Macaca mulatta: one gene and its partners. The protein of the gene in region 3 interacts with the protein of the main gene of each other region in a pairwise test. Links are inferred from orthologs where the notes say so. Each region holds a gene or a part of one and is shown on either strand. Other genes may lie near its edges.

Evidence for each region. The genes of interacting proteins can lie anywhere in the genome.
Region 1: the proteins of TFCP2 (region 3) and ZCCHC12 interact in binary tests that used the Homo sapiens proteins (3 or more experiments, as listed by UniProt). The two-hybrid records come from large-scale screens. The link is inferred for Macaca mulatta from reciprocal best matches to the Homo sapiens genes TFCP2 and ZCCHC12.
Region 2: the proteins of TFCP2 (region 3) and PHF1 interact in binary tests that used the Homo sapiens proteins (3 or more experiments, as listed by UniProt). The two-hybrid records come from large-scale screens. The link is inferred for Macaca mulatta from reciprocal best matches to the Homo sapiens genes TFCP2 and PHF1.
Region 4: the proteins of TFCP2 (region 3) and CA1 interact in binary tests that used the Homo sapiens proteins (3 or more experiments, as listed by UniProt). The two-hybrid records come from large-scale screens. The link is inferred for Macaca mulatta from reciprocal best matches to the Homo sapiens genes TFCP2 and CA1.

What each region holds. Positions count from the first base shown.
Region 1 is NC_133426.1:125,284,956-125,289,065, reverse strand, and holds the start of ZCCHC12 (zinc finger CCHC domain-containing protein 12), read right to left. Parts: upstream 2,884-4,110; 5' UTR 2,698-2,883; intron 2,352-2,697; 5' UTR 2,300-2,351; intron 2,103-2,299; 5' UTR 1,979-2,102; intron 1,567-1,978; 5' UTR 1,456-1,566; coding exon 247-1,455; 3' UTR 1-246. UniProt on the Homo sapiens protein: Transcriptional coactivator in the bone morphogenetic protein (BMP)-signaling pathway. It positively modulates BMP signaling by interacting with SMAD1 and associating with CBP in the transcription complex.
Region 2 is NC_133409.1:148,867,533-148,871,626, forward strand, and holds the start of PHF1 (PHD finger protein 1), read right to left. Parts: upstream 2,884-4,094; 5' UTR 2,670-2,883; intron 1,666-2,669; 5' UTR 1,650-1,665; coding exon 1,491-1,649; intron 1,406-1,490; coding exon 1,324-1,405; intron 1,218-1,323; coding exon 1,122-1,217; exon of another isoform or gene 796-1,121; coding exon of another isoform or gene 792-795; intron 712-791; coding exon 611-711; intron 498-610; coding exon 349-497; intron 172-348; coding exon 76-171; intron 1-75. UniProt on the Homo sapiens protein: Polycomb group (PcG) that specifically binds histone H3 trimethylated at 'Lys-36' (H3K36me3) and recruits the PRC2 complex. Involved in DNA damage response and is recruited at double-strand breaks (DSBs).
Region 3 is NC_133416.1:58,370,854-58,374,900, forward strand, and holds the start of TFCP2 (alpha-globin transcription factor CP2), read right to left. Parts: upstream 2,877-4,047; 5' UTR 2,176-2,876; coding exon 2,054-2,175; exon of another isoform or gene 1,430-2,053; intron 1,163-1,429; exon of another isoform or gene 1-1,162.
Region 4 is NC_133413.1:95,947,531-95,951,744, reverse strand, and holds the start of CA1 (carbonic anhydrase 1), read left to right. Parts: upstream 1-1,331; 5' UTR 1,332-1,452; coding exon 1,453-1,489; intron 1,490-4,214. UniProt on the Homo sapiens protein: Catalyzes the reversible hydration of carbon dioxide. Can hydrate cyanamide to urea.

The sequences.
Region 1 (4,110 bases), on a different chromosome or scaffold from region 3:
TGTCAAGGAAGTGAGCACACACAGAAAACAGACCCGTAGGCTGCAGGGAGAAGGAGCAAGGACAGAGGTCAGGCTATCTCCCTCCAATGTGCTGGTATCCAAGACCCTTTCTCCTCCACCCCAAAAGATAGCCACTTTGTGGATTAATTCATGCAGTTAGAAGCCCCGCCCCCACCCCAACCCAGTTTTCCCACTACTGGATGCTGAATATAGGTAAGGGTTCACTGAAATCTGGGAGCTGGTTCCTTAGAGTGGCTCAGAGAAGTCAATGTATTCGCCAAGGGCCCCTCTTGACCTCTCCATCTCGGTATGGGTCAGCTCCTGCAGGGTGATGATCAAATTCTCAAAAACCTGGACCTTGTCACTCTCGTTGTCACAGGCTTCTTTTGAGTGACCCTCGTCACCACAATAGGAACAGCGGATTGCGTGTTTTCGCTTCCTGGCTCTACGCATCTCCCCGGGACCATTATTCTTATAGCCAGAACCACCACTGGTGGAAGGAAACTGAGCCCTAGAATTGTGGGGGGAATCAATGACCAGCACTTCATCCTGAAGTCTGGCCCTGTCTCTGAGGGGAGGGGCACCCCAGGATGGAAGTGGAGGGTCCTGAGACTCCACCAGGATCACATCCTCATCGGAGTCGTCGAGGGTATCATCTATCTCTATTACATTGCAGTCAGCACTGCCGATCACTATCGGTGGGGAGCCCTGAAACGCCACAGGGCTGACTGCCCTCTCCACCATTGACTCAGACCTTTTTGGCCGCTTCCGTTTAATAAAAGCATCATCCCAATCCTCTTCCTCCCTTACCATTCTGATTAACTCCAGAAAATCGGGAAGCCGCTCCTGCTCATTTGCATACATCCTGAGAAAATCCTTAAGTCTGAGTCGGAGGTCCCTACTCAGCTCACCGCCTAAAAGGAGCTGCTGCAAGCGAGTCCGGTTTGCATCTTTCTCAGCTATGATGCCTGCCTGAATAGCGTTCTGGAGCTGCACCTCTAAACGGATCACGTAAAGGGAGGTTTTCTCCCCTTGAGCTTGTAAGGTGTTAAAAAATTTACCATGGGCAGTCACACTGCTTTCAGACTCCCCAAACACCAATTTCATGGCTCGCAAGAAATCTGCCACACTTAGGTTAGGGTTGGTCGCCTGAAGCACACGCATGACCTCGCGGGCAGGGCCCCTAAGGGTTTTCATCAAGCGCTTGAGCTTTTCCTCCTCAGACATACTCCAATCTGGCAGGACCCCATTGACTTGGGTCAGCCAGTTTTCAAAGGTTTCTTCCCCCTGGGCTGGCACCACCCTCCCCGAGAACAACTTCATGTTTCTGTCTGCCATGCTGGCCATTATAGGACCGAGACTTCTCCCCAGGGACCTCAGCATGGAATGGGCCCAAGGCGGCAAGGGTGCGTTCTGCCGCCGGCTGTTACCGACACGTGCAATGATGCTAGCCATGACTGACGACGATAGGGTATCTGAATATAAGATGCCTAGACTTTTTAGAGAAGCTTAATCTGCAGGCGGGAGAGGAGAGGGGGTGGCTCTGCGTTCCTATCTCAGCAGGGGCTGTAAAAAAGAAAGGGGAGCTGGTTAATAAGGGAGCAGGCTGCAGCTGCATTCTCTCCCTACCTGAATATCCTGCAGTACATTTTATATTTGCCCACTACCCTAAAAATAATCCTGTAGGAGACTGGCACTTACAACCTCCCAGAGCTACCCGATGGCTGCGTGCTAGCAAGGTGCTTTTTGCAGCCACATCCATCCCTCCCACCAGTCCTCCAACAGGGAGGGCAACTGTTGCTTCAAATTCTAGGTGTAGCAGTGTCTGGAGCTGATATTGGGCTCTCCAAATAGAGTACAATGATCGCAGATTTGTGGAAATAAAATCTCATTAACCTCATGGTCTCTGGTCTCAACCACACCCCCTTCTCAAAGTGCCCCCCACCCCCGTCTCCCTCTTTATTTCTCAGATTCTTACACGAACTCTGAAACAAGAGCGCGCCTTTATTTCATTTCCAGCCTCTGCAACCAGTGCCCTCCGTGGGAAAGCTCCTCTCCGGGTACGGTCAACCTCTGTCCACAGGGGGTCGCAGATCCGGGTCCTCGAGGTTTCAAGATTGCGCCACAGCGGAGAAGGCCAGAGAAGGGAAGGGTTAGTAGCAGCTTCACCCATCATCCTGCTACCCACAACCTCCGCTGTTGCCAGGCGAAAAATTCTCTCTGCCCCCTCCTGACTATAAGCCAGACACCAGCCCCCCACCCCCAGCATTACATCTCCCCCAGGAAGCCGTCGGCCTACCAGCTCTGCAATCAGCTGCACAGAATTGAAGTTCAGATGCGGCTTTGATGGCCTGCCACGGAGAAAGGGAATAGGAGTTGGACACACCCACCCACATATTCCTCCCAGAAAGAGATGAGTAGATGCAAAGGAGGTTCGAAGCAAACAGCTTGAGATTCCTACCCACCCCCCCGCCCCACCGCTACCCCTCGCCTCTGCCCCCCCCCCAAATCCAGGCAAATCTTACCCAGTCCGCAGTATCCAGGTGAACCCCACCTCCTCCCTCAGCGCAGCCGGGCCAAGAGAGTACTCCTACCCCTGCCTCGCAGTCACCGATTCTCCAAGCGGGGCGCCGCCCAGTACTGGTGGGTCTTCCCCCACCCCTCTCCCCGCCGGGCAATCGCACCCCCCTTCTTTACCTGTGCTCCGCTGGTGGGCAGCTGATGCTCCCGCGTCGCCAGCTGTAGATTCCGCCTTCTGGTCTCCTCCGCCCTGCAGGGGGGCAAAGAATTGAAGCCTCCTTGGCCGCTAAGCGACCAGGGGCTGCCCGAAGGAGCTGCTTCGCACGGCCGCCCAACCAGGGGTAGCCGAGACGAGACAGCGCGGTTCCCAAGGCAGCCGCGGCGGCTTTTATCCTGGGCCAGCTGAGACAAAAGAGCGTGACGAGCGGGCCAGTGCGGCCAATCAGCGAAGTGCGGGGGCGGACGCCCGGCACAGCCTTGGGCAGAGGCGAGTTTTCGCCCGAGGGGGCAGGGGCGCAGCAGGCCCGCGGAGCGTCAAGTGCAGCTTGATTAGACCTATGGAGCCAATCTGCCTGTTACCCGGGAATTTGCGACTCTTTCTTCCTCCCCCAACCCTTCCCTTCTCCCTGGGCTCAACGCTACATCTTAGGCCAGGTGCATTAAACACGAACTGGGTCCAAAATCAAGTGAATAATAAAAGCTCTTCACCTTGGTATAGGAGAAAGAGGGGGAAGAGGGGAAGGGGCGGGAAGAGCATTAGCACGTGCATTGCGGAAACAGGCTTTCACAGACATCTCCTCTTTTATTGTGAAGGAAGTATCAGTATGTCCATTTAACAGAGCGGAGAGCTGGAGAACAAGGCTCTCAACCAATACCCATTCAAGTATGGGTGCAAGACATCAGAGTCATTTGGGGGAGCTTGTTAGAAATGCGTCTTCTGGCCCGGCGTGGTGGCTCACACCTGTAATCCCAGCACTTTGGGAGGCCGAGGCGGACGGATCACGAGGTCAAGAGATAGAGACCATCCTGGCCAACATGGTGAAACCCCGTCTCTACTAAAAATACAAAAGATATATATATATATATCAGCTGGGCATGTGGTGCGTGCCTGTAATCCCAGCTACTCGCGAGGCTGAGGCTAGAGAATCGCTCCAACCTGGGAGGCTGAAGTTGCAGTGAACCAAGATCGCACCTCTGCACTCCAGCCTGGCGACGGAGCAAGACTCCGTCTCAGAAAAAAGAAAGAAAAAAAAGAAATGTAGGCTCTGGGCCCCAATTCTGGTGAATTCAGATTTACTAGGACTAGGGGTCGGGGTGTGGTTTTATATTTAGTATTTTATTATTATTATTATTATACTTTAAGTTCTAAGGTACATGTGCACAACGTGCAGGTTTGTTACATATGTATACATGTACCATGTTGGTGTGCTGCACCCATGAACTCGTCATTTACATTAGGTATATCTCCTAATGCTATCCCGCCCCCCCCAACAATAGGACCCGGTGTGTGATGATCCCCTTCCTGTGTCCAAGTGATCTCATTGTTCAATTCCCACCTGTGAGTGAGAACATGCGGTATTTGGTTTTCTG
Region 2 (4,094 bases), on a different chromosome or scaffold from region 3:
GGAGACAGGCATGGGAACTGAGGGTGGAGCACGAAGAGAACACCTTGGCTTCTGGAGAGTCTGCCTTGGTCTCACCTGTCCCCATAGAGGAGGGGCTTGCTCAGACACTGGGTGCAGGCCTCATGGAACCACTGCAGGCAGCTCCGGCACTGCAGCATTTTCAGGTTCCACCTGAGGGGGAACATAGGACTTCTGGCCTCCAGAAACCCCCTTCCCCATAACTGCCCCAAACCCTAAACTTACCTCCCATCCCCCTGAGTGCTACCCTCATCCTGTTCTTTTTCCTTCATTTCCTGGGAGGCACCACCACATCATTCATTCCACAGTCTGCTCCCCCTCATTACTCACTCCCCAGGGCCACCACAGTAACAGTAACTCTGCTGTCGGTTGCTCAGATGTCCAGCATCCCAGTCCAGCCCCTTCAGTCCATATGGCAGAGAGAGCTTCATACCCAGCATGGCCCGGGCATAGGGGCCCTTCTTCAGGGCACCTCCCCTCTGCAGAGACAGGACAGGTGGATGACTTCAGAGGGGTGGGGAGAGGAAAAGGCTTGGGAGAGGATGTGGATGGGAGGCTCTCACAGGAAGGGGTAACAGGGAAGTGCCTTTACCTTGGTGGCGATCGCAAAGACACACTGGCGGCATACCCAGGATGTGCCCTCTCCCTCTCCAGGGGCTGGGGCCCTGGGAACATGGCAGTCCTGGTGATAAGCTGAAGAGTGATAATGTTAATAGTAGACCACTTATTGCATACCTGTGTGTGCTTGGTATTGGGACAGGAATAGTCTTTACCCATCTCATTTAATCCTTGACCATGTTCTTGATGAGAGGGTACATGATCCTTATTTTACGAGTCAGGGAACTGAGGCTCCTAGAGGTTAAGGGACTTGTCCAAGGTCATATGGTTAGAAAAGGATGCAGTTAAATCATCCTCTGCTTGCAAAGGTTACACCACCCCTTTCCATGGCTGCTTCTCCCTGGGCTGAAAGGGGATGAGGACTAAGATAGGGCTAAGCAGCCTGGCCAGAGCAGTGGCTTGGGGACTAAGGCCACGACAGGTGACATAAGGACCATCCTGGAGGGAAGAGCAAGCTAGACCATTCAGGTGACCTGCCCTCTCACCATGGCGACACTTCTCACAGCTGACCAGCCGGTTCCCAGGGACCACAGTCTCAGAGCGACAGACACAACAGAGGAGTTCCTCCCCAGGGAGGGCAGCTGTGAGAGAACACAGTGTCACGGGGCCTGCCCTTAAGTCTCTTTCTGCCCCTCTAAGCCAGGTTTGTTTTCCATGGGATGTGCAATCTCAGGTCTCTAGTCTTACCAGGGCTAATGTCTTTCCATAGAACCAGAAACTGCGAATCATCCTCAAACTGGACCAGACACACCTCTCTAGCACTGTCCACCTGGAATGGGTGAGCAAAGAGAATGAAATGGGAACCAGAATTAGATAAGGGAAATAGGAAAAAGATCAGAGGTAGAAGGTCTTACCTTTTTGATGGTACCCAAGTATAGCAGCCCATCAGTCCATCTGGCCAGCACATCTTGACCCTCCCAAAGTCGAGGCCTGGGGCCAGAGGTGGGAGCAGGAGAAGCTGGGTCCCAAAGTGAGGAGGTACCAGAGCGGCTCAGCCGGGGGGGCTGCGCCATTGCATCCTGGGGGGGCCTAGCCAGAAAAGAAATGGGGAGGAGAAGGTTATGAATGCTCAGAAAGCTTCCCCATTTTTTTTTTCTGAGATGGAGTTTTGCTCTGTCGCCCAGGCTGGACAATCTTGGCTCACTGCAACCATCACCTCCTGGGTTCAGGCAATTCTCCTGCCTCAGCCTCCCAAGTAGGTGGGATTAAAGGTCTACCCACCACCACGCCTGGCTATTTTTTGTATTTTTAGTAGAGAGGGGGTGTTGGCCATGTTGGCCAAACTGGTCTCGAACTCCTGACCTCATGATCCACCCACCTCAGCTTCCCAAAGTGTTGGGATTACAGGCGTGAGCCACCGCGCCCGGCCAACTTCCCCATTTTCTTTGCCTATTTTGCCGTCAAGAATGAAGGATCTGTGCCCCCATCTCCAAATCCCTGAGACACCTGGATAGGAAACCACCAGGCACCCATCACCAGCTTCTTGAGTCCTCTTTCAACTCTAGTGACTGGCTCTCCTCACGGTAACTGCCCTCCCCCCAACCCCAAACCTAGTTGCTAGTTTCCCAGCTTCCAGAGCTCTCCTGGGATATTATATCCTGGCCTTGAAATTTTAGGAGAAATTACGGTTGTAGAAGCAAAGGCTACCACTCAGTTTAGAGGTATCATAATTAGGGTGTCCTGTTGCCCAGAGATGTGTTTTGGGACCTTTTCTGGAGATGTTTTCCAGAGCAGAAACGGCTGTCTCCCCAGGCCTGCGTGTCTCATTAAGAACAATCATCCTGGTGCCAGGTTATGTCAGGTCACCCTCAAATTCGGGGCTCCCTGCCCCCGGGTTAGACAACTTCTCCGAGTGCCCCGGGAGGGGGGCGTGTCCCAGTCCTGGTCTCCACTCCCCAGGACCGCAAGTCCGAGAAGGGACTTGAGTCGGCCCAGCTCGGACCCGAGGCCAAGGCGGCGAGGCTCTCCCGCCCGCGCCCCGCGCCGACCCCCGGCTCCCTGCCCCCCACCGGCGCCTCCTGCCGCCTCCTTACCGGTGACAGCTGGGGCCGCCAGGAGCCGGGCAGGGGCAGACGTAGGAGACCTAGGCGAGTCCCCCGCGCGGAGAGGGCACGTCCGGGCGTGGGGGGGTTGTGCAGGCGGAGGCCGGGGGGTCCCCAGGCCCAGCCCCTCCGTCCCGGCGGCTCTGGGGCGTATGACGCAGCAGCCAAAGCAGCAGCAGCGGCAGGAGGAGGAGGCGGCGGGGGGGAGGGAGGGGAGGGACGGACCGGTTGGGGGGGAGGGTGGTGGGAGGGGAGGACTGGGGGGAAGGAGGAGCCGGAGGGGGGGGCGGGCACCACCTCACCCCACCTCCCTCACCTCCGACAGGCCTGGAGGGTGCCGAGGAAGAGGCAGGCCCTCCACGGCTTGGGAAGCAAAGAGTCGGACCCGGTGGGAGAGGGAATCCCCTCAGCCCCTTCCTCCGACCTGAGACTCGCCCTTGGGGCACGAGGGAATCCCCCCTCCCGGCAGCGCGCCTCCGGACTGGTCCCCCGCCCCATGCCACATCCGTTAACTGCCCCACCCCCCATGGTCACTCCAAGTCCCGCCCCCCGGCCCCAGTTCACGGCCCCGCCCTCCATTCACCCTTCTCGATGCCCCCACCACGCCCTCCTCCCTCGCGCGCCCCGCCCTCCACTCGCCGTTAGCCCCAGCCCCGCCCTCCCCGTGGCGAGTCGCGCCCCACCCGCCGCCCTTTTGCGCACGCGTGTCCCCTCCTGCGCGCGGCACCTGGGAGGACTGAGCTCCTCCTTCACGGGGCGGCGGCCGTCGGCGGTTGGCGAGAGGGAGTCGGCGGGCGTGCGCGCCGCTTCCCGGGTACGTCCCGCCCCGTGCTTCCAGGGCTGGCGCAAAGACGAAGGGGGCAAGGACCCGAGGCGGTGACGCCACCGAGAGCCAGCCAATGGGCAGCGAGCGGGCAGAGCCCCAGCCGTTCGAACGGAAAGGCAGGGAAAGGGCGGGAGGAAAGAGCCAGCAGTTTGGGAGCGCGCGCTAGCCCCGCCTCTGGACTCCGGGGTCCGGTCCCCATTTGCCGACACCCACCAAAGGAACGTTGCTCCCTGGGGCTGGGGTGGCCGGCGGAAGGGTGAAACTTATCTAGATAACTAGTGACCAAGGAGAGGGCGTGGATAGCTAGAGGGCACGCCTCCCTGATGTGAGGGACGGGGGAGGGGGTATTAGCAGAGGGGAAAATGATCCAGACCATGGTCCAGAACCGGTGAGCTAAGGAGGGGAAAAGCCCAAGCCCTCAGCCCCCGCTCCCGCCTCCCACACAAACGTTTGGCAGAGGGGACAGATCACAGCTCCCACCTTTACAGATATGAAAATATCTGCCTTCTTGGGCAGATAAACCTTTATTTAAAAAAAAAAAAACAACTATTCTTTATTTGATAGCCCTGGGACATGGTGCCCTCTACCCA
Region 3 (4,047 bases):
GAGGACTGCATGATAGAACATATAGAACTCAAGTTTCCCTGAAAATCACTAAAATATTTACATAAGGATAGTTTTTTTTTCCAATTTTTCTTAATTTTTAAATTTTGTTTGTTTGTTTGTTTTTCTTAAGAGGTCTCACTCTGTCACCAGGCTGGAGTAGAGTGGTGCAATCACAACTCACTACAGACTCAAATTCCTGGGCTCAAGCAATCCTTCCACCTCAGTCTCCTGAGTAGCTGGGGTTACAGGAACATGCCACCAGGCCAGGGTAATTTATCTATTGATTTATTTGTGGAGAGCAGGTCTTGAACTCCTGGCTTCAAGAGATCCTCCAGTCTCTACCCCCTCAAAGTGCTGGGATTACAGGCATGATTATTATTTAGAATAACAGTCTTTATTATTCTAATTACAAGTAAAGATTCCTGAAGATGCTGAAGTATTAAATTCTCTCTCTTTTTTTTTTTTTGAGACAGAGTTTTGCTCTTGTTGTCCAAGCTGGAGTGCAATGGTGTGATCTCTGCTCACAGCAACCTCCGCCTCCCGGTTCAAGTGATTCTCCTGCCTCAGCCTCCCAAGTAGCTGGGATTACAGGCGTGCATCACCACACCCGGCTAATTTTTTGTATTTTTAGTAGAGACGGGGTTTCACCATGTTGGCCAGGTCTCAAACTCCTGACCTTGTGATCTGCCCACCTCAGCCTCTCAAAGTGCTGGGATTACAGGTGTGAGCCACCATGCCCGGCCTGAAGTGGTAAATTCTAACTCATAATTTTACTTCAGTGAGGAAAGTCCACTTTGAATTAGCAGGAATAAAGGAACTTTACATAACTCTTAAAAGATCTCATTATCAGAATGAAAAATGCATCTACTTTCCCCCTAAAAAGCATCTTTCCCCTATGAACTTTTATAAACCCAATGAAAATGTTAAGTTCTAGTCTCTCGACTCACTTACTTAAAGTCTTATAATGCATTAGGAAACCCAATTATAGTCCATCTACCCCTAAGACGCAGCTGTTGCAACACTTCCATACAGGATTCTTGCACATCTATAAATGAAATAAACTATATTGGAGGAATAAACTAGCCAATGCATGCAGAAAGTTATATAGGCAGTAATGTTGCTTTCAAAGGAGTTTTTGTTTTGTTTTTCAAATGGAGTCTCACTTTGTTGCCCAGGCTGGAGTGCAATGGCACCATCTCTGCTCACTGCAACCTCCGCCTCCCGGGTTCAAGTGATTCTCCTGCCTCAGCCTCCCGAGTGGCTAGGATTACAGGCCCGCAGCACCACACCCGGCTAATTTTTGTATTTTTAGTATAGACAGGGTTTCACCACATTGGCCACGATGGTCTCGAACTCTTAGGCCGAAGTGATCCACCCGTCTCAGCCTCCCAAAGTGCTAGGATTACAGGCGTGAGCCACCGAACCCGGCCGAAAGGAGATATATCATCTGTTATCAACAATTGGCTTGATACGTAAAGATCCAGAAGCATCGTAAGTTTTCTTCGTCACTTTTTCATTTCACAGCTTATGTTTTAAAAGTCAGAAATCCCAGAATTAAGTAAAGTCTTAAAGCAAGCTAGTGATAAGATATAACTGCACGGACTTCTTCATCAAGGACTTCCATATCTTTCCAACAAGAAACGAACGAATATTCATCATTAAGCACCAGCTCCCAATTTCCCAACTTCCTAGATAGCCTTCCTATGCTGTATGTAACCCCTTCTTCACATAACGTCAGACTTACCCCCACATACACCATCAGTCCCCAAGTCTCCAATGCACATGGGCACAAAAGCCTCTCAACATTCATCTGGTTGCTAATCAGGGACCACTCTTCCTTCTTCCACTGATCCTGCGCAGGCTTCATATAGCCTACAATCGCTTTTTCCATTTCTTCCACAACACTACTCAAAGCGACAAAGGAACAAGTCCCCTTTCCACAATCGTAGACAGTTTTTTAAAACTCTATACACCTCCTTCCCACTCAACCACTTTTCTTAGTCTCTATCCGCCTTTGTTATTCAGGTGTAGGGTCTGGGAAAATCTCACTCACCTCATGCTATAGGCACCAGCACCCAGTTCCTGGCCGATCCCGGACAGGCTAGCATCAAAGTCCTGCACCAACCCGGATTCAATCACTTCGTCGGCCAGAGGCAGCTTCAGAGCCCAGGCCATCCTGGCTCCTTCCTTGCCCCAGGAGACACTGTGTCTTGTACAAAGGCGCGGAGGGTAATTCTACCCAACAGGAGTAACACAGTAGAAAACTACAAACCAAGGTTTCCCACGGAGTGCCCACCAGCCACCCCCAAGCCCGACCAGCACTGCTCGTATAACTAATCTCCCGTATCCTTGGCTGCTAGTTCTTGGTTGCCCCAGGTTCCAAAATCCCCCCTGCTCAGGTCTCAGGAACGTGAGGACCCCTTTGCTCAACTACTGCAGACTTCCCAGAAGCAGCTCTGGACTCCCGCACTCCCACTCCTTAAGATACCCTCTTGAGAGTTCGTAGTGGTGGCTTGCTGCTTCCCAGACAGACCAGCAGCAGCCGCAGGAAGCTAGCCCGGCGCTCCCACGCTGCTTTTGCACCTTTTCCCCCGCCCCTTTCTGCTGGAGGCCCCCTCCCTCCCAGGGCTCGCTCTCTCTTTCCCCTCCAGGCCTCGCTTCCGGTCAGTCCCACGATCACTTCCGGTCACCCCCTCTGAACCCCACGGCCTAAAACCAAATCCAGGTTTCCGCTGAGCCGACTCCTTGCTCTCTGTAGCCCCCCACGGCCTGGAAACATGGAAGGAGAAAGTCCAGCACAGGCGTGAAACCTGGACTCCCCAGGCCCTTCCACCGCCCGCCGCCCCAGCGCCAACCAATCATGGCGTCCTCTTTCTTCGCCTGCCCGGCGAACATGACGTCACGCTGTCGCTCGCCTATAAAGAAGAGACCTCGTCAGTCTCGGCAGCGATGATAGGCGGGCTGCGCCTCGGCTCTGCCCCCGAGATGGGCTGGGCGATCACGGAGAGGACCCGGCGTGCAAGTGTCCGGGTTTAAACGTCTGTCCGTGTAGTTACCAGAGCTCTGGTATCCGCTACCCTTCAAGTCATCACCCTGAACCGTGGAAGGAGCCCTCCTTCTAGCCTTATGAACCCACTCCACCCCTGGCGGACTCTTGACTACTTCCCAAACGCTCCTTACGTGCGCGCGCTTGCTCCTGCTCATCCTCCTGTCTCCTTAAACTCACCTCTTCCGAGGTCGAGACCCTGCATAAATCCCACTTCCCTCTATATTCATTTTATCTTAGGCGTCCTCTCTAATGCAATTGAACAGAAAAGCATGAGATCAGTAAAAATGTGGTTTTTAGGCCGGGCGAGGTGGCTCACGCCTGTAATTCCAGCACTTTGGGAGGCCGAGGTGGGCGGATCACCTGAGGTCGGGAGTTCAAGACCAGCCTGACCAACATGGAGAAACCCCGTCTCTACTAAAAATACAAAAATTGGCCGGGTGTGCAGGCGCGAGCCTGTAATCCCAGCTACTCAGGAGGCTGAGGCAGGAGAATCACTTGAACCCAGGAGACGGAGGTTACGGTGAGCCGAGATCGGGCCATTGCACTCCAGCCTGGGCAACAAGAGTGAAACTCCATCTCAAAAAAAAAAGAAAAAAAAGAAAAAAAGAAAAGAAAAGCTGGGCGCGGTGGCTCACTCCTGTAATCCCAGCACTTTAGGAGGCCGAGACAGGCGGATCACGAGGTCAGGAGATGGAGAGCATCCTGGCTAATACGGTGAAACCCCGTCTCTACTAAAAATACAAAAAATTAGCCAGGCATGGTGACGGGCGCCTGTCGTCCCAGCTACTCGGGAGGCTGAGGTGGGAGAATGGCGTGAACCCGGGAGGTGGAGCTTGCGGTGAGCCGAGATGGCACCACTGCACTCCAGCCTGGGTGACAGAGCGAGACTCCGTCTCAAAAAAAAAAAAAAAAAAAAAAAAATTGTGGTTTTTAAAAGGTGGTTGTGCTGGTATGGGGTGTTGGAATTTAAAAAGATCTGAAAATCAGAGTTTAGGCTG
Region 4 (4,214 bases), on a different chromosome or scaffold from region 3:
TGCACATAAAGTTTTTAGCACAGCAGTTGATCCCTATTGGGCCTTCAATAAACAGTACTTTGAAAAAAAAACAATTCCCTTTTAAACAATATCTTCTTATGCTTACTGAAGCCATAGAATGGGAGCTTGCGTCTCTTCCCACTCTGTGGATGTTCATGACCACATCCCACTCTGCCTATAAGACAATGCACCATCATTAACTGCAAAGGAGCAAACAACGTGTCTCCAGTCAGCCTTGGTGAAAATTGCCCTGATCCTTCTCTTCTTTTAAGGGTTGCAGCAGCTCCTTACAGTGTGAAACGAGGAATGACTATCATGGCATGAAAAAAGCATCACTATGGAAGCTTATTTTTCTGGTTGTCTTCTCTTTAAGCATGTTTAGAGCTTTGAATATGTAGAACTGGTCAGAGTCTGGCACATTCTAATCAGTTTTCTTTGCCTTCCTGAAAAGTCCTGTGTAGCTTCTCATCATTGAGTGGGCATCAGTTTTCATCTTGGTCCAGGCTTAACTTGGACTTAAGAGTATTGTGAGCATAGGAGGGGAATTAATTGTGGCATTTGGTGAAGGTAAGTGAAGAAGGCAACTGGATTAGGAGGCTGAAGTCTTGGCTTCTTGGCTTGTTGCAAGTTATGGCAAAGTACCTCAACATCTCTCAATTACAAAATGCTAATTCTTACTATATGGGATTTGTATGTATGTGTGATGGTGAAATAAAATAATAAGAAAGGGGTTTATAAATTATATAGAACTATTAAAAAGGAAGACTTTCATTCTAGTAGACCTATTTGATGTATCAAATAAATATTGGGCCATATTTAACTTTAATATTAATAAAATCTTCTCCATTTATGAATTCCAATATTGCTCCAAAAAGGACTTTATTCTTACCCTGTACATCTGTAAAATGTACCATTATAAATAGCATATATTACAAATGATTAGTAATTTAATTATCTGATTTTAAATTAACATTATGATACTAGTTCAGACCAGCCTGTAAACACACAAATTATTCTCCTGATAAATTACTTTTGCTTATATTGCTTAAGTAACTAACAAAGGTAGAGTTGGAAATCTTAAGTGTACAAAATATTTTCCATTTAGAAAATCTAAAGAATTATATGTGATAATATTAAGCCATATCTTCTACTAACATGAGTGAAACAGGACTTGGCTTTATAAAATCTAGGATTTGATCATTCTCTTTTACAATATAAGAAAATAAAGCAATTGAAACTAACATAGCCCTTGTAGAATTTTTTACAACACTTTTTTTAGATATGTGTACTTCCTGATAAGCAGAGATGATGAAATAATGGCCTATTAAGGGCAAACAAGTTTCTATAAAAATGCCCAAGCAGGGATTTAAGGCATCTCCTGCACGCACAGTTGCAGTTAGTTATTCCAGGTATTATTTTTGTTTTCAGGAAAAGAAAACTCAGTAGAAGACAATGGCAAGTCCAGACTGGGGATATGATGACAAAAATGGTAAGAGTTCTCCTGTTTATATAGATCAAAATGATAGCTTCTTCCCATTTCCAACAGAAGAGATATTAAGCATTTAAAATAACGGTACAGCCATAGGTTAATTGTTGAACTGGCTGCTTTAAATAATTATACTATCTTTGCATGTATTCTTAGCATTGTCTTTCGGGGCATGACTGACTACAAAATATGTTTGATATATGTACAGACATACCTCAGAGATACTGCAGGTTCAGGTTCAGACCCCTATCATTAAGCAAATATCACAAGAAAGCAAGTCATATAAAATTTGGAGTTTTCCAGGGCATTTAAAAGTTATGTTTACACTATGCTGTTGTCTATTATGTGCAATAGCATTATGTCCAAAAAATATACCTACCTTAATTAAAAATACTTTATTGCTACAATATGCTAGTGATCATCTGAACTTTCAGAAGTACTAATTTTTTTTTTCTTTAAGTCAGAGTCTCACTCTGTTGCCCAGGCTAGAGTGCAATGGCACGATCTAGGCTCACTGCAACCTCTGCCTCCCAGGTTCAAGTGATTCTCCCGCCTCAGCCTCCTGAGTAGCTGAGACTACAGGTGCCCACCACCACACCTAGCTAATTTTTTTGTATTTTTAGTAGAGATGGGGTTCCACCATGTTAGCCAGGATGGTCTCGATCCCGGGACCTCATAATCCACCCTCCTTGGCCTCCCAAAGTGCTGGGATTACAAGTGTGAGCCACCACGCCTAGCCAAGTATTAATCTTTTTGATGGAGAGGGTCTTGCCTCAATGTGGATGACTGCTGACTGATCAGGTGGTGGTTGCTGAAGGTTGGGAAAGCTCAAAGTTATCCATGACTTTGGAATCAACTTCTTCCAAACTCCTGTTAATGTTGATAACTTGACCTTCTCCCATGAATTATGAATGTCCATGCAGAATGGTGAATCCTTTCTAGACAACTTCAATTTCCTTTACTCAGATCCATCATAAAAAAATTATTATCTATGGGAACTACAGGCTTACAAAATGTATTCTTAAATAAGATTTGAAAGTTGAAATTTTTCCTTGATCCATAGACTGCAGAATAGATGCTGTGTTAGTAGGCATGAACATAACATCAATCTCCTTGTACATCTCCATCAGAGCTCCTGGGTGACCAGGTGCATTGCCAATGAGCAGTGATATTTTGAAAGGAATCTTCTTTTACAGAGGAGTAGAGCTCAACAGTGGGCTTCAAAATATTCAGTAAACCAGGCTGTAAACAGATGTGCTGTCATTCAGGCTTTGTTGTTCCTTTTAGAGAACACAGGCAGAGTAGATTGAGCATAATTCTTAACGGTCCTAGGATTTTCAGAATACTAAATGAGTGTTGGCTTCAACTTAAAGTCAACAACTGCATTTGACAAAAGAGTCAGGCTATTTTTTAAAACTTTGAAACCATGCATTGACTTCTCCTCTCTAGCTATGAAAGTCTTAGATGTTATCTTCTTCCAATAGAAGGCTGTTTTGTCTACTCTGAAAATCTGTTCTTGAGTGTAGTCACTTTCATTGGTTATCTTAGCTAGATCTTCTGCATAACTGTCTGCAGCTTCTGTATCAGCACTTGCCACTTCACCTCGCACTTTCATGTTATGGAGATGGCATCTTTCTTTAAATCTCATAAACCAACCTCCACTAGCTTCTAACTTTTCTTCTGCAGCTTTTTTGCCTTTCTCAGCCTTCACAGAATTAAAGAGAGCTGTAAGCTTGTGTAATTAGGATTTGGCTTAAGGGAATGTGGTTGTTGGTTTGATCTTCTATCCAGACTACTCAAACTTTCTCCATATCAGCAATAATGCTTCTTTGCTTTCTTATCATTTGTGTGTGCACTGGTGTAGCATGTTTAATTTTCTCTAGGAACTTTTCTTTTGCATTCACAACTTGGCTAACTGGTACAAAAAGTCTACCTTTTGGCCGGTCTCAACTCTTGACATGCCTTCCTCACTGGGCTTAATCATTTCTAGCTTTTGATTCAAAGTGAGAAACATGTGACTCTTCCTCTTACTGGAATACTTACAGGTCATTGTAGGGTTATTAATCAGATTAATTTCAATATTGTTGTCTCAGGGAATAGGAAGACTTATAGAGAGGGAGAGAGATGGGGAACAGCCAGTCAATAAAGTAGTTAAAACACACACAACATTTACAGGCTAAGTTCATCATCTTTTTTTTTTTTTTTTTTTTTTTTTTTTTTTGAGACGGAGTCTTGCTCTGTCGCCCAGGCTGGGGTGCAGTGGCCGGATCTCAGCTCACTGCAAGCTCCACCTCCCGGGTTTACGCCATTCTCCTGCCTCAGCCTCCTGAGTAGCTGGGACTACAGGCGCCCGCCACCTCGCCCGGCTAGTTTTTTGTATTTTTTAGTAGAGATGGGGTTTCACCATGTTAGCCAGGATGGTCTCGATCTCCTGACCTCGTGATCCACCCGTCTCGGCCTCCCAAAGTGCTGGGATTACAGGCTTGAGCCACCGCGCCCGGCCTAAGTTCATCATCTTACTTGGACATGGTTTATGGTGCCACAACACTATTACAATAGTAACATCAAAGATCACAATGATAGATATATGAACAATTTAAAAGTTTAAAATATTGTGAGAATGACCAAAATGTGACACAGAGACGTGAAGTAAACACATGCTGTTGAAAATATGCCCCTAATAAGCTTGCTTGATGCAAGATTGCTACAAATCTTCAGTTTATAAAAA